2 linked regions of the Notamacropus eugenii genome follow. The protein of the gene in region 1 binds, or shares a complex with, the protein of each later gene. Links are inferred from orthologs where the notes say so. Each region holds a gene or a part of one and is shown on either strand. Other genes may lie near its edges. The genes, in order: STBD1 and GABARAPL1.

What was found.
Region 2: the proteins of STBD1 (region 1) and GABARAPL1 are in contact, whole or in part, in a crystal structure (PDB 8X8A), measured with the Homo sapiens proteins. The link is inferred for Notamacropus eugenii from reciprocal best matches to the Homo sapiens genes STBD1 and GABARAPL1. Residues at the interface, in NP_003934.1 of Homo sapiens: Glu201, Glu202, Trp203, Glu204, Met205, Val206, Pro207, Arg208, His209, Ser210, Gly213; in NP_113600.1 of Homo sapiens: Glu17, Ile21, Tyr25, Asp27, Arg28, Pro30, Val31, Ile32, Lys46, Lys48, Tyr49, Leu50, Val51, Pro52, Asp54, Leu55, Gly58, Gln59, Phe62, Leu63, Arg67, Phe104.

The regions. Positions count from the first base shown.
Region 1 is NC_092878.1:150,995,650-151,008,479, reverse strand, and holds the start of STBD1 (starch-binding domain-containing protein 1), read left to right. Parts: upstream 1-7,261; 5' UTR 7,262-7,436; coding exon 7,437-7,695; intron 7,696-12,830. UniProt on the Homo sapiens protein: Acts as a cargo receptor for glycogen. Delivers its cargo to an autophagic pathway called glycophagy, resulting in the transport of glycogen to lysosomes.
Region 2 is NC_092874.1:200,018,145-200,030,492, reverse strand, and holds the start of GABARAPL1 (gamma-aminobutyric acid receptor-associated protein-like 1), read left to right. Parts: upstream 1-7,175; 5' UTR 7,176-7,867; coding exon 7,868-7,957; intron 7,958-12,348. UniProt on the Homo sapiens protein: Ubiquitin-like modifier that increases cell-surface expression of kappa-type opioid receptor through facilitating anterograde intracellular trafficking of the receptor. Involved in formation of autophagosomal vacuoles.

The sequences.
Region 1 (12,830 bases):
CTCCCTCTCCCTTTCCCTCTCTGTCTCTCTGTCTCTGTCTCTCTGTCTCTCTTTTGAGTGGTCTTCACACTTGTCTGCATTTTAAATGCATTACTTTATAATTTAATGTGTTAATAAAATACATATATTACTATATCACAAGTTTCAAAAATATTTTGATAACAATATTTCAAAATAATTGGTCTTCTTTGTAATTCTATGTATTTTATTTTATGCATTTAAGAATATTATTCTGAGAAGGGGTCTATCAGACTGAATCCCTGCCATAGATAATTTCTTGAGGCAGTGAGAAGCTAAGTGACTGTCCCAGGGTCACACAACCAGTATGTGAAGGAGGCAGACAAAGTCAAATGCAAGTCATGTCATCATTTCTCTGATGGCATGGTCTTCTTCAGCAACGAAGGACAAACACAATCCCATGAGTAGGTGCAGCTGGCTGAATGCAGCTGGGTAACTCACCTCCTCTCCTGTCTGCCTCCCCCTCCCCTTCCTTCTCCTCTCCAAAGGAAGGTAAACTTGGATGGCCAAAAGATGCCCTGTTGACTTGGGTTTTACTGGCTCCTTTCCTATTACCCTTCCCTCTCCTCCCCTCCCCTCCCCTCCTTTCCTTTCTCCTGTCCTGTCCCCTGTCCCATCCCTTGTCCTGTCCTCTCCCAAAACCTTAAACCTACTGCACTCTGAAACTGGGACTCCATTGAGGCCCTGCCTGAGGGCTTCTCTGGACCCCTCTAGCTTGAGAGTGATTATCAATAATAATTGTTGCTCTTTCCCACCCAACCTGATATCTTTCTTTTTCTCGACCTCATTAAAGGGGCCATGCCCTGGCTACTTCTTAAACAGGCCTATTCAATGAATGGGTGTTGCCTCACCCTAAGTGAGTATCTGCAAACACCTTGGCCTAAAGGGCCCAAGGTCTCCCAGTGCATCCTGGGTCATCTCCAGTCATCCTGAGGAATATCAGGTCTCTGGATTCAGATGACTGGAGGAGAAGTGAGGCTGGTGACCTGCACAGCCCTCCCTCACTCAAAACAAAGTCAAGTGCAAGTCACGTCCTGATTTCTCTGATGGCATGGTCTTCTTTGGCAACGAAGGACTAACACAATGGCATGCCTAAGGGAAAAGGGAAGAGGCAATGATCATATTTAACCTAGGCAAACCCAACTTATTCTTTATGCCGTAGGTTCTTAACCATTTTTGTACCATGAATCCCCTTGGCAGTCTGGTGAAACCTATTTGCTGTTTAGTCGTTCAGTTGTGTCTGACTCTTTATGACCCAATAGACCACAGCTGTTCATGGAGTTTTCTTGGTAAAGATACTGGAGTGGTTTGCCATTTGAGAAATCACCCTGCTTATCATTTCTTATAGTATTCCATCAAATTCATATACCACAACTTGGTTCAGTCATTCCTCAGTTGATGAACATGCCCTCAATTTCCAATTCTTTGCACCACAAAAAGAGCTGTTATAATATTTTTGTACATAGAGGTCCTTTTCCTTTTTTTAATCTCTTTGGGATACAGAACTAGTGGTGGTATTGCTGGGTCAAAGGGTATGTATAGTTTCATAGCCCTTTGGACATGATTCCAAATTACTCTCCAGAATAGTTGTATCAATTCACAACTCCACCAACAATGCATCAGTATCCCAATATTTCCACCTCCCCTCCAGTATTTGTCATTTTCTTTGAAATTCAAAACCCTTAATATTATTTTGCCCTTTGTTCTTTTTCTTTCCTCCTTTGTTTTTAAAAGCATCAATTAAATTTATTGATTAGAGCATCTATCATTCTTTCCTTCTAAGTTTTTACTTGGCAACATAAAAAATTTAACTAATTAATCAAGCCTTTTGTGAAATCTTGCAAAATGGTACAGCCCAAAACACAGCAGACCTATTAATTTTTGACCCTCTTAATGACTGGTGTCATTTCCTACACAACTGACCTAGCCATGGTAATTAATCAGTATCGGAATTCCGAGTGAGCCTGGTTGTGTGTAACCTAATACTCCAGACAACTCAAGCCACTGGAGCTTGCTATGGGAAAATTTCCCCAAGAAATATACTTAAAAATATTTTTTGACAGAACCAAAAGGATAGTTTAACAGAAATCTACACAGGTCTTGAGTCCATCTTTGATGGCACAAAATAGAGCAGTAGAACCTTTTTGTTTTTCCTTGAAAATAAAACAGATATTTTCATATTGGGTAGAATCTTCTGAAACAGGAAAGTCACATTATCATCCAAATATACATTTGCCATGGTGGCATGTTTCTATTTTTGTCTCATTGTACCCTCTGCTACCCATCATCCTTGTTTGGGGCTTATATTTCCCACTTGCCCTCGTAATTGATTTTCATTGAAAGGCAAAGTAGTGAGAAAGCTAGGCTGGCAATCAGGAAGACCTGGGTTCACGTTTCAACTGGAACACTTCCTAGGCAAGTGACCCTGGACAAGTCATGTCACCTCACACAGCCTCAGATTTCCTCAGCTGTGAAATGGGTACAATAATCCCAGCAAAATTATTTCCTGGGTCATTGTGAGGCTTAAATAAGATATGTCCTAAATGTGTTGCAGACTTTAAAGCTCTCTAAGGGTCAGCTATTGATATCATTAAGGGAATGTAAAGTAGTATTTAATCGTTACCAGCTCTGTCCCTTAAGCTTTGAGACTGCAGCTTGGCCAATTGCTTGGGTGTATGTATGGTTGTCAGGGGAAATTGCAATGGAGTCCCAAAGACAGCATTTACCTTAGCAGGTCAGAATGGAAGGGGATCTATAGAAATATTCTGTCCCATACTCCACAAATGCAGAGTCCTCAGCACAGCGTGATGAAATCATCAGCACTTATTGATAATATTTAAGACTAATAGAAAAGTTCCCACTGAGAGAGAGCAAAAGTGTTTGTTTTGGGGGTGAGGGAACCTGGGTTCAAATCCCAGCTTTGGTCCCTTTGGAACCCATTGTCTTTATCTATAAGATGAGAGGGTTGAACTAGACAGGTTAAGCCCAGATCCCTTCTAAATCTAGAATGAAATCATTGCTGTAAAAACCCTACTGCTATCACTGTATGTTGTGCACTTTGACAGCTCATAAACTTTATAGGGAGATTGCGGACATGTTGTCACTTGCAGTTTTGCTCACTGAAGTTATTTGGCATTCTTGCTATTCAGTTGTTTTCATTGTGTCCAATTCTTCATGACCTCTTTGGGGTTTTCTTGTCAGAGATACTGGAGTGGTTTGCCATTTCCTTTTCCAGCTCATTTGACAGATGAGGAAACTGAGGCAAAGAGGGTCAAGTGACTTGCCCAGGGTCACACAACTAGTAAGTGTCTAAGTGTCTAAGGCCAGATTTGAACTCAACTTTCCTGATTCTAGGCCCTGTGCTCTATCCGCTGTTCCATCTAGCTGCCCTATGAAGTTATATTCCCTTTAAAACGAAGGATCATCTACAGATGTTCAATATTCATTTGACATTTTCTCTTTAAACATTTTACTGATATTTCATTCAGCTTTTCAATATCCTCTTGGGATTTAAGATGAAGAGTGCTGGACTCAAAGCATCTGTATTCAAATCCCACCTGCTTGAGGTTTGGCAAGTCACCCAGTCTGCCAGCCCCAGTTTCCTCAGCTGTAAAATGACAGGGTTGGACTTGGGTGTGCTAGTAAATATTTAATGACTAACACTCCAGTAAAAAAAAACAACAGTGTAGGACCACACACTCCTAAGTCTGACCAACATCATGAACATTTTCTCCTGTACTTTCTTAAGTCTATACAATCAACAAAACAAGCAAACAAAAGAAGAAAGACTTGAGTTATAATGTTTGCTGATTCCAAAGGGTAATGCTCATGATGGAAACTTAACAACTGGCTCTCCCAAGTTAACATGAGTTGGCTCTAGCACGGTGATGATTACACTCAATGACCTCTAAGTCTCCTTCTGGCTCTCCATCTATGAATCTATGATTCAATGGTGGGGAACACCGTGACTGTCTTCATAGTTCATGCATTGGGATCATCAACCTTAGAAGCCATGTGATACAACCCCCTCATTTTATAGCTAAGGAAACTGAAACCTACAGAGGTTATGTGACTTGCCCAGAGTTACTCAGGGAATAGGTATTACAGACAGGATTCAAATCCAGATCATCAGGCTCCAAACTCAGAGCAATCTCACTGTATCCCACTGCACCTTTGCCAAAATCAGTTCTCAGGTGTTTTTCTAAACAAAGTTCTTGTATATTGAAGAGGAAATGAGTTGTTGCATAATCAGATTTAGACCATGATAGACATGGGGTTCTTCAATATTTTACCTTTTTTCTTTTTCTTTTCTTTTCTTTTTTCTTTCTTTCTTTTTTCTTTTTTAGCATTTTAAGCTAACCCTTCTTGTTAAACTTTACAGAGTCTTTACCAGGGAAACCAGGGGATCTAGGTGTTGGTGGTCTTGCATTTTAACTTAAATGGACTCCTGGGAAGGAGAAAGAGAGGATAGAACACCTATCTGTGAAATTCCTTTCCCATAAACATAGGATTTAGTGGATTATAAGAAGGAAATAAGCTGTAGATTTACCAATGTAGATGACTTAGTGCCATTGACATCTGTTAAGTGTACTTACTAAAAGCACAAGAGGAAAATATTTATCTTCTCAGAGAATAATGTACTGTATCAATAAGCTCCCCAACATACACAGGGGGCCTGCTATCACAGGTTCTTAAATCTGCATTTATAAAAGGAAAGGCAACTTTTGAGAGGTTAACAATCTCCTTTAATCAAACACATACATCATTCACTTAGTTCAGGAAATCAACAGACAGCACTTCAAAACTGTTTGACGTAAGCAATCCATATATCACAAATCAACAGACAGGTCCAACTGTCTGACCATAGTTACCAGAGAGGGAAGCACCAACATCTGGGTTTTCAAAAGGGGGGTGGCAGGAGATGGCTGCTTAATGGTTTCCCAGAGTCTCATCTGGCATACAAACCTTCTTCCAAAAACTAAACCCCAAAGTAAAATCTCACCCTCAGAGTATTTATACCTTTTTTAGAGTCAGAGGGCATCCCAATCCTTGACCATCAGTGCCTCTTTAACAAAAAGCGTGGGCCTTCCTACAAAACTCCCCTAATCAAAACCTCCTTAATGGGCAGGTCCATTAATGGGTGGGAAAGATATTTAATCACATTAACAATACAAATATATATATGTACACATATATCTACACACACATGCACACACAAACATACATACACACACATATCTATCTCTCTGTGTGTGTACACAGAAACTCTTGTTTCTGTATTTTTCTCCTGGGACTCTTGGTTGATAAAGGCAAGATTCAATCAAAGGCATTATACTTCTTGATTATACTAAAACAAAAACAGCAAAAGATCCTACTTTGCTTGCCCTTACATGTACCACAAAACCTGCCACCATAATTCAGTTCATTCTATTTAAACCATTTGTCAGAACTTGCTGAGCACTGTCTTAGAGAGTAGGAATAATAAAAGAACAATAACAAAACAATCCCTGCCCTCAAGGAGCTTATATTCCTCTGGGGGGATTGCAGTGTAGGAACATGTATGAGGTGGAAAGGGCCATCTAGTTCAATCCCCTCTTCTGACAGATGAAGAAATTGAGGTCCAGACAGTGAAAAGGACTGAACAAAGTCACTTAGAAGTACAGGTAGGATTTGAACCCAACTCCTAATCCATCTCCAAATCCATCGCTTTTTGAGATTCATTATCCCTGCCAGCATCAGAGATATTGGAAATTATGCCCTCAAATCATTTTAAAAGGTATTCCTTTGGGGGAGGGAGATAGAGATAGCCTCCTTCCCATAGTAGGAAACTGGCCCTGTAGGCAAATCCCCTGGGATTTCAAGAGTCCAGTGCTCGGGGATGGATAATAAAAGGAAATTGAGATGCAAGTGGGGCAAAAGAGAAAAAGAAGCAAGCCATCTCGTAGCTTTTATTTTGTTTAATTAAGTTATTTAACACAACTAAGTTCAGTCGTTTCCACACTGAAAGAGTGTAAGGGCTAATAATTCCCACTGAATTTCAGGGCACTGGTGCAAAGCACATTCACCCTATCCTAGTTACGGTTGGCAGTGAATAGGGGGAGGGGCTGCTAATTTAAAAGAAACTGTACCTTTTCACCCTTAAATAGATGATGCTTTGATTCCTCCTCAAGAACTACATTCTGTCGGGAGGAGGCATGTCGATTTTTTTCTGGGAATTTCCCTTCTCAACAAATCAAGAAGCATTAAGAGCTTACTGTATGCCAGGCATTGTGCTAAGAGGTGAAGATACAAAAAAGGCAAAACCCAGTACCTGTTATCCAGAAGCTTACAGCTGAAAGGAGGAGACAACGTACAAATAGCCATGTAAAAGTAATATGCAGGATAAACTGGAGAAAGCCAACTGATGGAAGGCACCAGCATTCAAATGTTCCCATTAGAGTCAACAAGCATTTATGAAGCACCTATTATGTATTGGGCAGTTTGCCAAACCCTGGCCATAAAAAGAAAGGTAAAAGACAGTCTGCTTACAATGTAATAAGGGAGAGAACATGCAGCCAACTATGTGCAAACACGATATAGACACGATAATTTGGAGCTAATCCTCTTCCCCCAAATGACAAACACATCAGGGAGAACCCTATGCACCTACTATAATTCAGCTTCCAAACTCTGAGTCCTTCCTTTCACAAATGAGGAAACTGAGTTTCAGAGAGGTTAAGTGCTAAGCAGGGTAGTTGGGGCTCATTTTCTCTTCATTTCCTTTCAAAGGAGTGCTCTTGTCACTGGGTTTCTACAGATGCTAGATCACCCCTGAACATTGGCTTTCATAGAGGCAGACAGGCACCCTGGATTTCAGCCCCATGATCAGCTCTTGCTGGGGTGCTGTCCAGCGAGCTAGAACTAGGACCTAAGACTGAGGAGCCAGTCCAAGCAAGAGCAGTGGGGAACGATTTGGGAAAGGGGAAGGTAGGGAGGAGTAAGGTTCTTAAAACTTGACTTGACCTTGTAAAGTGCAGAGGAAGAGTCAGGGACGGCAGTAGGAGGAGAACGTGGGGGAGGATAATGTCAGACTTGGCTGCAGTGGCAGATACTCCTCCTCCCCATCCTCATTCCTTCTCCCCTCCTTGCTCCCTCCCCTGCACCCCGTCCTCCTCTCCCTCCAGTGGCCAGCTTCTGAGACTGAGGCCTGGAGAGGTGACAATGGGGCGGGGCGGGACAGGGGAAAGTTGAGCTTCTGCTAGGGCGGGGAGTCAGGAGGGAAGGACCAGGGCTGAGATAAAAGGCAGGCTGGGGTGGGGACGCTCTGCGAGCAAGATCCGCCCCGCTCTCGCTCCCGTCAGGGTCCCCGGTCCCCGCGGGCGTCCGGGCTCAGGGCATCCCCCTCAGCGCTTAGCCAGCGGGGCCGTTAGTGTGGAGCTATGGGCGCTGTCATATCTGCGCTGCTGGTGGGAGGAGGTCTGGCCGGTGCGCTCTTCGTTTGGCTGCTGCGGGGAGATCCCGGGAACCAGGATGCGGGGACCGGGGAGGGGCGAGAGTTGTCGCCAGGGGAGGCAGTCGCAGTAGCCCCGAGGGGGGACGGAGGTGGAGATGGCGGGGACCCCCTTTGCTCTAAACATGAGCAGGTGGCCCAACTCCGGGAGCAGAGGGGCGACTGGAACGTGAAGAAAACAGCCGAAGGTACGTGGGTACCCTTGCCCGCACCGCTTATTTGGGTGTTGACAAATCTTTAGGGAGCCCAAAGGAAGCCGGAGATGGGTGGGAAGAGGGGTGCGCGGTGTGGACACACCCCTAACTTTGCCTGCCGCACTCAGTCCCTATTTTTCCCTGGGTACCTTGCGTCTGGGCCAGCCTGGTTTGTGTATCGACGGGGATCTAAAGGTCAAAAGCCCAAAAGCCCCAACCTTCCCATTCTTGACAGGCAGTGGGGTCCAATGGGAAGAGGCAGAGGGTCTGAAATCAAATATTGGCTCAGCCGCTTATTACCTCTGCGACTTTGGGCAAGTGACTTCAGGCCCGGAGGCCTGGGTTTCTTCATCTATAGCTGGAGACTGGGACTACGGTGGATCTAAGATCTTACAGTCTACTTTCCCCCTTGCTCATCAGGGTCCGCCACCCCTTTCCCGGTGCTACTTGATTAGAGGTGGGGTGGTGGTGGGATGCCTCCCCTCTTTCTGGACCCTGGGCCCTGAGAGGCCGAGCTCAGGCTGAGCAGAACCTGCTTCACGTGCTTTCTTTTCCCAGTCACCACTGCACCCCACACCCTTACCCAAACTGGGCAGAAGAACCCAGAAACCCCGAAGGACGGTCCCGCCCCATCCCTTGCGGCTGGGAATTGGGTTTGGGACCCCTAGCCAAGCTATCTCTTCTCTGGGTTTGACTACTTGGGGAGGGAGGCGGTGCAAAACCATCCAAGCTAAATCTGGGACGGAGGCGAGTGGCAAAGAAGAGCTTGGTCGTCCCGGGAAAGTCTTGGACAGTCCCCCTCTAGAGTTCTGCAGACACTCCCCCTCCCCACCCCCGCCCCTGGCCATGTGGCAGTTAGCTCAGAGAGACTTCTTATTTATTTCAACAAACATTTGTTCTCGCGACCCCAGTCCGAAACTCTTTCAGGGAATCCTAGTTGTCAAAACTATTTTAATAATAATACTAAGACGTTATTAAAATAATATTCCTTTATACAACTGTATATGCGTGACCTGGGATTTTCTTCATAAAATTCAACCAAAATAGAACATTCATGCAGAGACAGAGATGAGAATCCAGTTGCATTCTATTAAGCCAGACTTTTGCAAGAATATGTAAAACTGCCATTTTTTCCTCACTGATTTTTTAGGAAAATATTTTTCTTTTTTTTTCCTTTTTTAAATGGAGTCTTTTTTAAAAAAATTAATTTGTTTTCAGTTTTCAACAGTTACTTCCATAAGTCTTCAATTTTCTCCCACTCCCTCTCCCCTTCCTCCCTGAGATGACTTGCAATCTTATATGGGTTCTACACATACATTCTTGTTAAACACATTTTCACATTAGTCATATTGCATAAAAGAATCAAAATGAATGGGAGAAACCATGAGAAAAACCAAAACAAAACATAACACAAGAGAAAAGAGTCTGCTTCATTCTGCATTCAGTTTCCACAGTTCTTTCTCTGGATGTGGATGGCAGAAAATAGTTATTTTTCATTAAAAGATGTTATTTATGTTAACATAAGATGCTATTTTATATTATAAGATGCCATTTATGTAATGAATTTATTATTATTATTTTTTAAATTAATAAGTATTTTAAACATGTATCATCAGTTTTAATTCCTAATGCAGTAAATCTATTGATCACTAGTTATAACCCACAAAAATGAAAAGTTTTTTGGGTCCCCAATACTTTTAAGCATGTAAAGGAGTCTTTGATAATTTTTAAGACTATAAAGGGATTCTGAGACCAAAAAGGTTGTGAACGATCACTGCTCTAGACAGCCCAGTCTGGAAACTGGTTGTTTGATGGGAAGGTCAGAGAAGGGATATGGGAGTGTGGACAGGGAGAAATGAGATTGCAGTTAGGACACCTAGGTTTGAACACCTAGGTTTTACCTACAAATCTGGTGTCCAGGGACATGTCACTTCCATTTTCTGGGTGGCACTATCTTGATCTGAGGGGTTTAGATCAAATAAAGTCTAAGCCTCTGTCCGTTGCAAATTTTGTGAGTGATGCCGTCTCTACTGGTGGATGAACTATTCTTGGATTCCATTTTTATGGTCAAATATACCTTTGTATTCTGAAAGCAGGGTACTGGGGACAGGGTCCCACAGGGGATGCTCATCTGCAGAATGTGCTTGATTGATTTTAATTATAGGGTTTTCTACACTGTTACTTTAAATTCTTCTGTTCCTATGTGGATATTTTTTCATCAGAACCTTTGGTTTCATTGGTATAGGCAAACTCCTTCTGTCCAATACCGATACACTACTGCTCTGCAATTTATAGTCCTGGAAAATTGCCTAGGGCATAGAGAGGTTAGACATGCCCTGAGTCACACAGTCAGTGTGTGTCAGAGATAGAACTTGAAAGCCAACTCCATCCATTACCTTGGCCTTTAGCCCCCAAAAAAGAGTAGGAAAACTTCCCATAAACATGCTCAGGTTTATGCCATCCCAGATCCTCTAACTAGGATTCTGTGTCTTTCTAGCCATTGACTTCCAAATCCTTCAGCAAATCATCTACAATTTATATCCCTGTTTCTTTACCTTCGACTGCCTTGTCAATTCCTTTTACAAGCTGGCTTTGTAAGCCATTCTACTGAAATTGCCCCCAGAGTTAGTCATGATCTCTTGATTTCTAAATCTGATAACCTTTTCTCAGTCCTCATCATTGACTTCTCTGTAGCTTTTGCCACTGTTGACTACTCCATCCTTCTGGACACATTCCTCTTTCTTTCCAAAATACTGCTCTCTCCTAGTTCTTCCCTCTGCTGCTCCTTCTCTCTGTCTTGTTCACTCTATTTTCATCTCTTGCCCTCTTACCTTGGTCATTGCCCAGGGCTCTGCCCTGGACCCTTTTCTCTTCTCTATATGTACTCTTAGAAATTTCATCATTCACCCATTCCCTAGGTTCAGGTATTTTTATGCAGATGTATCCCAAATACATGGACAGCTAGGTGGTGCAGTGCACAGAGCACTGAGCCTAGAATCAGGAAGACCTGACATTAAATCTGGCCTCAGACACTTACTAGCTGTGTGACCCTGAGCAAGTCACTGAACCCTTTTTGTCTCAGTTTCCTCATTCATAAAATGAACTGGGAAAGGAAATGGCAAATTATTCCAAGAAAATCTCAAATGAGGACACAGTCACATAGGACTAAAAATGACTAAACAAGAAATCTCAAATATGCACTTCCAGCCCTAATCTCTTTCTTGAGCTCCAATATGCATAAGTCAACTTCCTGCTAGATAATTCCTTATCTAAAATGGACCCCTTTATTCAAAGGTATTAAGAGGTTCAAATAGATGATAAGCATAAAGCACTTTGCAACCCTTAAAGTGCTATGTTAATATTAATAATACTATTACTGGTCTCCAATCTGATGATGAGCTCATTTTGCTGTTTTCTACAGTGCTCCTCATGAGCTGAAGCAACTGTTTATAGAGCAAATACAAAGGTGTAAAGTAAATGTTTAATAGCTAGGCTGGGTGTTGGGGGCAGGGAAGGGGATGTATATGCACACACTTCTAAATTTAATTTGCATTGTTAGCACTTTCTCAAGCCTAGACGATCAAACCCTGACTTGTGGGGTTGTTGATTTCTAATGTGTGAATGCTCACAATGAAAACAAAACCATCAGCTCTCAAGCCCAGTGGTTAGAGCTGGCTTCAGCATAGAGCCCCTGCCTTTGTTCTCTCTCTCCCTACCTTACCTTCTCAATCTCCCAAAGCCAATCAGTTGTCAAGTTTTGTCAATTCTATCCCCCCTACTCCTCCCCCCAATTTTTCTTGTAGGATGCTCTTATGTCTACCCAACACTCTGGTTTTGACCTCCATCAATTCTTTCCTGGACTATTGCAACAACCCCCTTATGGGCCAGCCTCCTCTGGCCTCTCTTCCAGTCCACATTCTGCCAAAAGATCCATTGTAAATCACAATCTGAGGGTGTCACTCAAAACTCTTCAGTTGCTCCCCAGTGACTACAGCATAAAATCTATGCTTTTTTAGCTTGTCTTAAGTGGAGGGCTAACTCCACACTCTGTTTCCAGATCCATTTCTAAATTAATTTTTATACTACTCTCTTACAAACTCTATATCCCATCCAAACTAGCCCATTTGCTATTCCCTGAATTCAATATTCCACTTCCTGCCCCCTTTCATTTACACAGGCTGCCTCCCCAGCCTAGAGTTCTCCCTCCTCCCATCTCTGACTCAGAACTCTTGTTTTCCTTCATTGTGCAGATGCTTCCTCTCTGTGAGATCTTCATTGATTCTCTGAGCTGGTAGTGTGTCTTTCCTCTTCTATTTTCATATACATATATAGGTACATAAATATATATATATCTTATATGTATACTATATATAGACATATTATAACTGCTTCCTTTCTTCCCCTCCCCCCATATATGCTCCTTGAGAACAAGGATCAATTTATTTTTAGTTGTGTATCTCCAGGACCTGGTGTTATACCTAGCACTTAGCTGCTTCCAAAGGCTAGTCATGAATTGAATTAGCACTTCACCCTAAATCATACTACTTGTCTCCTCAGTGGATGAGGTAGGGAGAGAATCTGGAACTCAATATTTTGTTAAATGTTTTTTAAAAAATAAATGAATGATGAAAAATTTTGAAAATTTAAAAGAAAGTCACCCTAATATTTTAGGAAACTTTAATTTTGTTGGAATCATGCTTTTTCCCTTTCTTTCTCTCTCCTCAGATTTACCTGAGGTAGAAAGATTGGACCCAACCAGTTATGCATTCTCATACCTCCATCTTAGCCCCCAAGGAAAAACAAACAAAAAAACAAAAAAACTTGATATGTGATTTTAGAATCTTACAAAAAGGTGTTTGAGCTTTTAGAATGACCATAACGACAGTACAGAAGGAAACCGCCTTCAGTAAGGCTGAAGGGATATGTTTTTCTCCCAGCTGACAAAATACATTGACCATTGAAAACATGGCTGATAAGGCAGAACCTTCATTTTGAAGTTCTTACACAAATAATTTTGAAAGCAAAATCCAGTCTTTCTCCAGCCTTGACCTCTTAACTGTTATTCTGAATGCTTATGAAGCAACAAAGAATGACTCGCCATTAATTGCTCTTTATTTGGGGCTGTGCAT
Region 2 (12,348 bases), on another chromosome or scaffold:
TTTTCTCATCCATCTTAATTTTTGCGCTTTCCCTCTCTTATTTCCAATTTATCCTGTATGTAGTTTATTATATATATAGCTATTTTAATGTATCTCTTACTAAATTAAGAGCTCCTTAAGAATAAGAACTTTTTTTATATCTGGTTGTTGTTTTTTGCCTTTCTCTGTATGCCATAGACATAGCACAACGCCTGGCAAAAAGTAGGCTGTTGCTGTGTTCATCCTTCATTTTCAAAGACGACCATGACATCAGAGAAATGATGACATGACTTGCACTGGACTTTGTTTTGAGTGAGGAAGGGCTGTTCAAGATCACCAGCCTCACGTTCTCCTCCTGAGCCACGTGGACCTGTGACCAGATACTCATCAAGATGACTAGAGATGGTCCAGGATGCAACGGGAGACCTTGACCTTTTTCTCCTAAGGCCTATTCAGGTACTTACTTAGAGTGAGGGGGTGCCCATTCAGTGAATAAGCCTCTTTCTCTTTAATCAGGGAATGGCCTCTTTAATGAGCAAAAGAAAAAAATATAAGTAAATCAAGCTGGGAGGGAAAGAGCAACAAAGTTTCTTAATTGTTTATATATAAACTGTTCTTGAGATTTGATTGACTCAGAAGACTAAGGCTTAGGCCACTGATGTAACTTCCTGGTCACCTAGGTACAAAATAGCCAGGACTCAAGGGTCTAAAGTCTCTTTCCCTGAGGTTGAGGACAATAGATCAGCATGATGAACAATATTAGGAAACTTTGTTCAGTTGAGTCATTCCCTTCCTCCCCGCAAGGCTGAGTAAACATTTTGTAAACATGGATTGTGAGTATCCAGTTTCACTCTGACTTCATATCTAAACTACTAAGGACCTTTGGGTGTTCAGAGAGGACTAGAACCCCAGGTGTGATGGCTGCCAAGTCATATGCAGGGCTGCTCAGCCACCTTTGAGGTCCACCTTCACCCAACTCTCACCTGTGACTCTAAGAAACTGTAGCATGTACAGCAGCCATACCCTGGTAAACCAACGGGGCAGATGGGCTAAACCATGTTGAGGGTAACCAACAGGCCTCAGACTTGTTGGTGAGTTAGAGAAATGTCTACCCCAAACATGTGGAGACTTTTCCTGGCAGAAAGAGTGGATGAGAACTATATGTTCCAATGGCCATGACAGCAGCTAAAGGGTGATATGGAGCTCTTAGAGTTTGGTCAGGCATTAAAGACACAAAGGTCATCTAGTGCATCCTGGACTGTTGCCAGTCATCTTGACCTTTGTCCTTCCACTGTACTTTGATTGTTGTTTGTCCATCATTCTTGAAGAGGACCATGACATCAGGAAGATGATGCCATGACTTGCAAAAGAATTGGATTTAAATGAGGAAGGGCTATGCAAGTTCACCAACCTCACCTTCTCTTCTGGAACCATCTGGGTCCGATGGCAAGATATAGATCAAGATGAATGAAGAAGGGTCCCCTCACCCTGGACTTTGATAATTTGGGGAGAGTGAGGCTGATGACTCAGTGCAACTCTGCCTCGATTATACAGCTCACATCCAAGTCAAGACATCACCCATGATTTCATTGGTCCTCTTCGAAGTCAAAGGATGAGCAACAACCAGGGACCCAGCCTGTGGTAGGCCTGCACTGTTAGTCTGTCTTCTGTATTGATAGTCTCTAAATCAATGCCCTCTGGTTGAAAGCCCAGAAGTCAAGAGTTACATTGATCATTTGAAATTCATTAAAGAGAAAATGTAGTCTTTGTTCAAGACGATAAAGGCACTGTGCTATATAGCTATAACTTCTCTAGTTTCTGTTGTTTTTTTAACCTATCAGACTTTACAATTATTTCTTCAGTTTCCAAACTGAGAGTTCATTTAACGCAATATGGATCAAAAACATGATATGATAGAAAAAAGTATCAAAGAAAAATATTAATACTGTACTATGTATTTTATTTTTTTCATATTTCATATTTTTTCCAGTTATATGTAAAAACAATTTTTAACATTCATCTTTTAAAAATCTGAGTTTCAAATTCTCTCCCTCCTTCTTTCTCTTCCTCCCTACTTCAGAAGGCAAGTAATTTGATATAGGTTGTACATGTGCTATCACACTAAACACATTTATGTAACAGTCATGTTGTAAGGGAAAATACAAACAAAAACAAAAAAAGTAAAGTAAAAAAAGTATTTTCAATCTGCATCCATCAGTTCTTTCTCCAGAGATGGACAGCATTTTTCATTACAAGTCCTTCAGAATTGCCTTGGATCAGTATTGCTAAGAATAGTTGTCATTCATAGTTGAGCATCATAATATTGCTGTTACTGTGTACAATTTTTTCCTGGTTCTGCTCATTTCATTTTGCATCAGTTCATGTAAATCTTTCCAGGTTTTTCTGAAAACATCCTGCTTATCATCTTTTATAGCACAATAGTATTTCACAATCATATACCACAACTTGTTCTGCCATTCTCCAACTGATGAGCATCCCCTTAATTTCCAATTTGTTGCTCCATAAAAAGAGCTGATATGATTTTTTTTTGCATTTAAATCCTTTTCCTTTTTGTTCTTCATCTCTTTGGGATGCAGACCTAGTAGTGGTATTGCTGGATCAAAGGATTTTATAGCCTTTTGGGCATAGCCCCAAATTGTTCTCCAGAATGGTTAAATCAGTTCTCAATTCTACCAACAATGCATTAGTGTCTCAATTTTCCCATATCCATTCCAACATGTTGTTTTCCTTTTTTGATAGGTGTGGAGCACCCCAGAGTTATTTCAATTTGCATTTCTGTAATCAATACAGATTTAGAGAATTTTTTTCATATGACTATAGATAGCTTTGATTACAGCCTCTGAAAACTGCCTATTCATATCCTTTGACCATTTATCAGTTGGGGAATGACTTGTATTCTTACAAATTTGCTTCACTTCTCTATACATTTGAGAAATGAGACCTTCATCAGAGACAACTGTAAAAAATTTTCAGTTATAATTACTGTGTATTTGCCTCCCCCACCCCCATTTACCATACTCTTTCTCTCCTTTCACTCTGCTCATCCTTGAAAGTGTTTTGCTTCAAGACTACTGCCTCCCCCAATCTGCTCTCCCTTCTATCAGCAGTACCTCACCCCCTTCTCTTATTCCCTTTCCCTCCTACTTTCCTGTAAGGTACAATAGATTTTTATACCCAGCTGAATGTGTATGTTATTCCCTCTTTCAGCCAATTCCAATGAAAGTAAGGTTAAAGCATTCCTCCCCATTTCCCCTATCTTCCTCTCCACTATAAAAGCTCCTTCTTACTTCTTTTTTTGAGGGAATATCCCCCCATTCTACCTCTCCCTTCCTCCTCCCAGTGCATTCTTTTTATTATCTTTTTATTTTATGTTTTTAGACATCATCTCATCTAAATTCATGCCCATGGCCTTTATGTACATTCCTTCTAATTGCCCCCAAAATGATAAAGTTCTTACGAGTTACAAGTATCATCTGCCCATGTAAGACTATAAACAGTTTAATCTTATTGAATCCCTTATGATTTCTCTTTTGCGTTTACCTTTTTATGTTTCTCTTGAGTCTTGTATTTAAAAGTCAAAATTTCTATTCAGCTCTAGTCTTTTTATCCTCTATTTCATTGAATACTCATTTTTCCTCCTGAAGGATTATAACTCCATGTTGCTCATAGTTTAATCTTGGCTCTAATTCTAGCTGCTTAGCCCTCCAGAATATCACATTCCAAGTTCTCTAATGTAATGTAATCTTCTGTTAGCCTGATTATGGCTCCACAATATTTGAATGGTTTCTTTCTGAGTGCTTGTAATATTTTCTCCTTGACCTGAGAGTTCTAGAATTTTGCTATGATATTTCTGGGAGTTTTCAATTTCATTTCATTTCACCTCTCAGGAGGTGATTCTATTTTACCCTTTGATTCTAGGATATTAGGGCAGTTTGATAATTTCTTGAAAGATGATGTCTAGGCTCTTTTTTTGATCATGGCTTTCAGTAACCCACCTTTGGGCAATGCAACAGAGTCCTTTACCCAATGCTAACAAAGGGATCTCTGTAATCTCCTTCTGACCTCCTTACCATCGGTGGGCTGAGAGCTCCAGAAGCCAAGTCCATTGCCCCCAGGTCTGTTGCTTCTTGCTGAGGGGTTCTGCCTTTGTTGGACTGATCTCCACTCTCATTCCAGTATACCAGACCTTTCCTGCTGACCTTTTAGGTTATCTTGGGCTAGAAAATTGTTTCACTCTATCTTTGTGGGTTCTGCCATTCAGAATTCATTCTGAGACATTATTTTACAGTTGTTTGAATGGGAATTTGGGAGAGGTCAGGCAGGTCTCTGCCTTTTTTCTACCATCTTGGCTCTACCCTCTCATTTCCATATATATTTTTATATATATTCAAATATTCTATTTATCTCTATATATACATATATATTTCTTCATATCTCTATATTTTCTGCATATATAGTATGTCAGGAATAATTTTATTTAACATTAAATACTAACAGTATACAAGTCATTTCTAAATTGAAGAGAGAAATATTCAAATTGGCATAGTTCCCCCACGTCCTTAAACAAGTCTCACTTCCCAGAAGAATTTAAGGAAACTTTTATAGGAATTTTGAACAAAGAAAATAAATTTTGGGTTAATATTCTATTTCAACAGATGGAACATAGTCAATTGATAACCACTTACATCTTTCTTTGACCACTCCCCTCAAGTATGTATAGTCCTATCCCATGACCTCCTCCCCAGATCCATATCATAATTCTTTTAAATGGATAATAGGGGCACTACCCTTAGGTGAATTACAGCCCAATTGCTTCTGAGGGTTGGGAAGCTCATAGGTAACCTCAATTAAAAGTTTGGTTTTCATTCTTAATCAATTACTTTTGAATAGGGAGAAGCTTAGAACGTTTTTTTAAGACAAGAGAAATATTTTTTCTTAATACAGTTGGTGAAACTGACAATAAGGCTTTTATGCTTCTACAAATGCTAATGTATTTCTGACTGTATTTAGAAATATACAATATCCATAAATAAAATGATGAACATGTTCTACTCTGCCACGATCAGATCACAACTACATCATTGTGTTCATTTTGGGGTGCCGCACTTGGGGAGGTATTATAAAAAGCTGAGAGTTTCAGAGAATGGTAACCAGGACTGTGAAGAGCTTAACATTCATGTGATGAATTAAATGAGTGAAAAAGGATTTAATAAACTTTGCATATGTCAAATATTGTTCTAGATATTTAAGAACATAAATATAATGAAGTACCTTAGTCCTACCCTCAAAGCGCTTAAGTTTGAGGAATGTTTCAGGATGGAAAAGTATTATTTCTTAATATTTTCAGGTGAGAAAAATATAATGGGAAGGTAGAAAGAGGGATGAGGTTAGATGCAGAGGTATAGTTTGGAAATGGCCAGAAAGTGGCATGATGGCCCGTTTTCTCGCAAAGTGAGTTAAAAGCTCGATACATGCCAATCTGCTGAGTGAACCTGTAATGGCTAACATGGAGATAAGGATGCTTGGCAAACATCATAGCTGTCTTTAGGTATCTGAAGATCTGTCACATGGTAGATGATTTGATTTGCCCTTTGGGGCAGAACTACAGGGAATGGGTAGGAGTTGTAATGCGGTAAACTTAGCCTTAATGTACAGAAAGACTTTCTAACAGAGATCACAAAGTGGAAGGGGTTGCTTTGGAATGAGTTGAAGAAAAATATTAATGACTATAATTTTGTTTTAGCCTCAAGTCTTTCAGAAAACAAATTTTATTCATTTAACATTATTCTAAATCCAGTCTATGCGTTAGAGAAAGAAATGACCAAATAAGTAAGCTCCCCAAACCCCATTCCTTTGGAAATCTGTCATCAGACAACTTGAGGTAACAGGAGTCTTGATTAAGGAAAAGGACACAAAAATATTAAAATACAATTTTGGTTTAGCATCCTACTGTATCAAATAGAACAATAGTCACTTAATAACAACCCATTTCCTTCCTTGACCCCTCAAGAGTTCTCCAGGAGTAAATAAAAGGAAACACCCTTTAATCAAAATCCTAATCCTTTCAAAATGGGAACACCAGTGATCTTAAACTGGCCAAGTCAATTTTTTTGTTGTCCTAAATTGGTTACCACATCTAATCCATTTACTAAGGCCTTAATTTGTAGGCTTCCCCTAAAAGGAAAAGTTTGAGAAGGGTTTTGGCTGGAAAATATTATTTTTTAATATTTTCAGCTGAACTAAAAAAAAGAGGTTTTTAATATGCTTCCACAGATGCAATCAGTTCCCTATCACTGGAGGTCCTTAGGCAGAGAGGCAGGATAACCACTTAATTGGATTTGTGGGAGGAATTCTTTCTGAGATACATGGTGAACTACATCAAAGGGACATTTCAACTCAGTTTCCAGTGATTTACAATTTTAGGAGTGATTGGCTTTTCAGAAAGTTTCTTCATAGGTCAGCTAAAGCAAGTCCTCGGTCCCCAAGCACCACTGAATCTGAAGGCAGAAAAACCCAGTTTGAATTAGAGGCCTACTAAACGCCATTTGACCTTGGCCAAGTCAATTAATTCTTCTTGGTCTCAGTTTCCTCATCAGTACCATAAAAATAATAATAACTGCACCATCTGCCTCCTAGATTGTTGTCAAGGGAACCATGCAAAGGAACATTTTAACCTAAAGCTATTTAAATCAAATCTTTTATTAGTCTAATGCTATGGAATTTTGTGATGCTGCGTTTATCCCCCTGGTTACCTCCTCTCCCCAATTCGGGCCGGTGGCTGCTGACAAGTCTCTTGGCAGACAGTAGTGGGTAAGGCCCAGTTCATCCTCATCACATGATTTCTGTTTTTCTTTCTTTCAGCAGTGAGGCCTTGCAACACTAGTGATTCTAAGAGGAGGGTGGGGAAAGGGCTGGAAACGAGGTTTGGAAGAGTCCACTAAAAGGGAAATTCTACTCCAGCACCTTAGCCTCTCTAAGCCAGGATTGCATTTTTCCTCATTCTCTATCCTTCTAAAGCCCTTAGTCACCTTGTTTATGTGGTTCCTCAGTCTAGTAATTTGCAGCTAACAAACAAAAACAATACATAGAAGTGCGCAGGCAGAATCCCTGGGTAAACTGAGAGGACCCTCAGAAGAAAGGCCGAGAGAACACTTAAAGATTTCTGTATCTGCCCCACACGTAGCAGGTCTTCCACTCCCACCTCCTCACCCCTCCACCCCTTACTTCACACCCCCAACCACAGCCAGCCACCCCAATGTGCTTAGAAAGGCTGGACTTTAATCTCTGGTAACTGCTCCTGGATTCAACCAAAAAAACCCCACGACGAAGTGGAGGGGGAGAAGTACGCATCTTTGGTACCTTGCCTTAAGACATTCCGTAACGAAAGAAACAAATAGCGTTTTAGACCATACGAGGTTTTGATTAAAAAGATTTGGTGAAGGATTTTTTTAAAAAGGAAAGTTAATATCGTGGGCTCATTTGAACAACATTTTCGTTGGCCCCCGGTTCGGAGTCAGCACCGGGACGGGTCTAGAACATTGTGAGGGAGGGAAGGGCGGAGCTTTGTGACGTCACAATACCAGGCTTGCTACTGTGTTGCCTGTGTGTTCCCGGCTCTTCCAAGAACGCTGCAGGATTTCCCCACCCCCACGCCGGCTCTTTCTCCACCTCCCAGCCCGGGCCAGCCGGGGCCTCAGTTCTGAGCGCTCTCCGCGGACTGGTGGAGCAGAGCGGGCAGGGCAGCAGAGGTTGGCACCGCTAAGGCTCTTCGTATTGTACTTCGACCGGGAAAAGACAGACTCGGCGAAACCATCCACTCCGCTTAAGCCAGGCCCCCCAGGGGAGATCGGAGACGCTGCGGAGCATCATGAAATTCCAATACAAGGAGGATCATCCTTTCGAGTACCGGAAAAAAGAAGGGGAGAAGATTCGGAAGAAATACCCTGACAGAGTCCCTGTGAGTGGTTTGGGGGCCTGGAGAAAGGGTGGGAGGAAAGGAAGAAGGAGGGGGAGGGGATGGGGACGCGACAGCTCTCTGACCTGAGGAGCAGGAAGGGTCCTTGGAAGACATTTCGTCTCCAATTCCCTAATAATGTAAACTGGATATCCCTACTGATGACATCCCGCACCCCACCGTTAGTAGCAGAGGCATAGGGGGCTTCTAAACTGAGCATCAGCAGAGAATGTGTGTTGTTGTGAGTCTGAGGAATGGGGGCAATGCACCATCACTGCCTTGATACGTGCGTGTTCGGAGATGAAGCCCAGTGACTCAGGAGTGCGCCAGGTGCGTTTGTGTAGGTGGTGCTTGTGTTCAAGATGCGGCGCTCTTGTGTGAGAATGGGTAGGATGGGGTCTTTTCTTGACTGCATGGAAGAACGCCAAGAGAAAGCTGTTGATCAGGGTGGCCACCATGGCGATGGCTCTGCGGCTTCGCCCTGTTTGTTTATGTCCTTTCAAGGGTTTATTCAGCTCTGGTTCCATCTTCGGGCTTCTAGACCTTTTGTCCTTGGAATTAATTGGGCGGGGGAAGAGAGACATGGGCTCCTTCCTCTCTTAAAAAAACACAAGACCGAACCGGCTTGGCAAACAGGGGCATAATATCTGCGCAGCAACCAGTTTGCTTCATCATCCTTGGCTTTAGAATTAACGCATGTTAGGGGGAGAACAGCTTTTTTCTGGTGACTGTTTTGCCTTTGACCAGACTGACTTGTCACAGAAAATGCAGGAGTTGGGGGTGGGGAGAGTTCTTCTTTCAGCTCTAATTTATCATATTTTCTGTCCCTAACACCCTGCTGCGCCACCCCCACCCCTTTCTCTGTGAGGGAACATGCTGCGCCTCTGTGAAAGTGGGACTGTTTGGATTTGGGGAAAAACAGGTTCATATGGAGGTAGGGTGGGGTAGAGGGAGCATAGACCATAGAGTTTGGGAGGTATGGGTGCAAAAACTAGAGGTATGGAGAGGAAACAAAAAGAATCAATGAAAAATGTTTTAGTGCTTTACCCAGGCCCTGCTCCCTGCAGAATAATTGAGGCCTTATTGATTGACATTACTGCTGCAAAATTTAGAAGTCAGTTAATCCAGGATGGAGATCTGGAAGTAAAGATAATGGGGATATGAGGCATTTATTTTTATAGCTTTTGAGTTCCTAATGTAACAGCTGAGACCTTCTTAAGACTGACGTTTCTCCAAGCAGACTAGTTGAGGTAGGTTTGGAAACAAGGTAGGCCATCTTGCCACATCTGGATCCAGTTATAGAATGTCAGTCACCCTCTCAAAGGAGACTAAGGAGGTCCCCTTTCCAGTCACCTCCCACATCTCCTGCAGGACTCACTGGTTAGTATTTGGTTAGAGGGAAAAGATGACTGAGTAAACAAGTTCTCTTCTTGACTTCTTTGAAGCATGTGACATTGACTGTCCATCCCTTTCTGGAATTTTGTGACACTATTTTTGGCTTTTGTTTTATTATTGATTCTCCTGCCTTATCCACTCTCCACTTATCCCCTCCTGCATGTCTCCTAACTTCTACACCATGCTCTTTAACTTCTCTATACATTCTCTTATGCTACTGGGGATACAAAGGCAAGTGATATAACCTTTGCCATCAAGGGAGACAACATAAATAAGTATACAAAATAAAATCAGTGGGGGGAATGACACTACCAGTTGTGGAAATCAGGAAATGCTTCCTATTGAAGGTGGAAATTCAGCAGAATTTTGAAGGAACATTTTATAAGACTGACCAGGTGAGATGGGAGTGCATTCCAGGCATGAGGGACAACCAATGCAATGACATGGATTTAGGAGACATAGTTTCTTGTGGGAGAAATAGCAGTTTGACTAGACTTTCCTTTAGCCTGTATCAAAGGAAGTCTTGATTTATTGATGACCTCAGTGGCCTCAGGCAAGTCATTTAGCCCTGTTTGCCTCAGTTTTCTCCTCTGTACAGTGAACTGAAGAAGGAAATGGCATACTGCTCCAGTATCTTTGCCAAGAAAACTCCAAATGGAGTCACAAAGAGTCGTACATGATTGAAAAAATGACTGAACACATGGTGACTCCCAGATCTCATAAAGTCTGAATCTCTCTTGATCTCCAGTTCTCCATCACAAACTGTACTGTCTCTTTGATATTTCAAACTAAATATGTCCAAAATGTCTTCCTTTGTCTTCCAAACCCACCCCTGTTCCTTCCAAATTTCTCCCAATCTAAAGGACGCCATCTTTTCAGCTATTTTATTGTTGTTCAATCTCATCTGACTCTTTCCCTGACCCCATTTGGGATTTTCTGGGCAGAAATACTGAATTGGTTTGCCATTTCCTTCTTGGAGGAAACTGAGTCAAACAGGGTTAAAGTAACTTGCCTGGGGTCACACAACTAACTATTGGTGTCTTAGGCCTGATTTGAACTCAGAAAGGGTGAGTCTTCCTAACTCTAAGCCCAGTACAGTTGCTATCCAACTACCCATCTTTTTAGTCAACCCAGGTTCATAACCTTGAATCTTCCCCTTTCCCTCACCCCCCTATCCATTCTGTCATTATCTTTCATGCTTATTGGCCTTCTACAATACCTTTTTCATCTGCCATCTCTCCATCCTAGTTCGTAACAGTATCAGCTCTTGCCTGGATTTGAATAGCCTTGAAATTGGTCTTCCTACCTCTAGTTTCTCTTCACTTCACACTGGAATCCAAGTGATTTTTTTTTAAAGTTTGGATCATGTCATTTCAGTCACTCTGGTGGTTCCTATTATAACTCCAGAATCATATCCATGGATGGGGAACCTGTGGCCTCCAGGTCACATGTGGCTTTCTAGGTCCTCAAATGTTGTGCTTTGACTGAATCCAAACTTCACAAAACAGATCCCCTAAATAAAAGGATCTGTTCTGTAAAACTTGGACTATGTCAAAAGGACGCATCCAAGGACTTACAGGGCCTCAGGTACCACACCCCTGATATATCTTAAATAACAACTTTGCCGAAATCGACCTTTCCAGCATTATTATACAGTACTCCCCTTCCGATATGCTAGTCTAGTCAGACTTACTTCCTTACACATAATTCCATTTATTTACCTTCTGCTTTGTTTACTGGTCGTCCCCATTGCCAGACCTCTTTGGCTCCAAGGTCATGCATAAGGGCCAAATTTTAAATGAGGCCTTTTCCAGTCCCCCCCAGCTGTTAGCAGTGTTAAACCCCTTGCCATCATCTTGTATCTATTTTTGTGCGCACGTGCATGCACACACACACACACACACACACATACGTATACACACATATATACACACACATGGTCTCCCTTCCTCCTTCCTCCCCCCTCCCTCCCTCTCCCCCCAATAGTAGGTAAGCTCCCTGAGGGGCAGTGTCTTGTTTTAACTTTTCTTTTGCTATTCCCAATGTTGAACCCAATGCCTTCACACTTACTAGGCCCTAAGTACATGCTCCTGAAATTGATTGATTAATCATTTTGCCCTCTCTGCCTTAAGCTGATATAATAGAGTACTCATTCAGGTTTTCAGGACTCACCTAATCAGTGTTGGACTTCATAGTTTGTTATCTCTCAAAAGAAAGGGTTGGGCTGGGTGACCTAAGGGCCTTTCTAGCTTTAAACTTATGAATCCCCTCATTTTACTGATGAGGAAACTGAGGCTCCAGGAGCATTAGGTGACTTGCTCATGGTCACAGTTATAGCGCATAGTCCCCAAGTCCTGATTAAAGTCTGATTTTTCTACTGTTAATAAGTGGCCTCACTTATTAGTCCTGTAATTTGGAGCAAATTCTCCCTGAAGACTTTCCTCATTGGTAAAAATAGAATAAAATTGGTTAGTCCCTTGATTTGTTAGGCTCTATACTTTCTTCAGTTTGGAGACCTTCATCTTTCGATGTTATGTCTGTGACTTAATAGCTGAGCCACTAGTCCCAGGGCTTTGTCCAGAAGAGATATAGTTCTGTGATATATATTACTATAATGTACCAGGTACTGTGCTAAGTGCTTTACAAATATTATTTCATTTAATCCTCACAACAACCCTTGGAGGTAGGTTGTTATTATTACCCTCATTTTACAGTCAAAGCAGCTTAAGACAGGAATGGGTTAAGTTACTTGCCCAAGGTCACACAGCTAGCAAAAGTCTGAGGCCTGATTTTAACTCTAGTTTTGCCTGACACCAGACCCAGTGCTCTATCCACTCCACCAAACATGTCCAGGAAGTCATGGTGGCATGAGCCCTTTATACCAGTCTTAGAACCTAAATATTAGTATATTCTCATTCATATAGCACTTTACAAAGCATTCTTTCCTACAAGGGCCAGTTAGGTAGTGCGGTGGATAGAGTACTAGGCCTGGAGTCAGG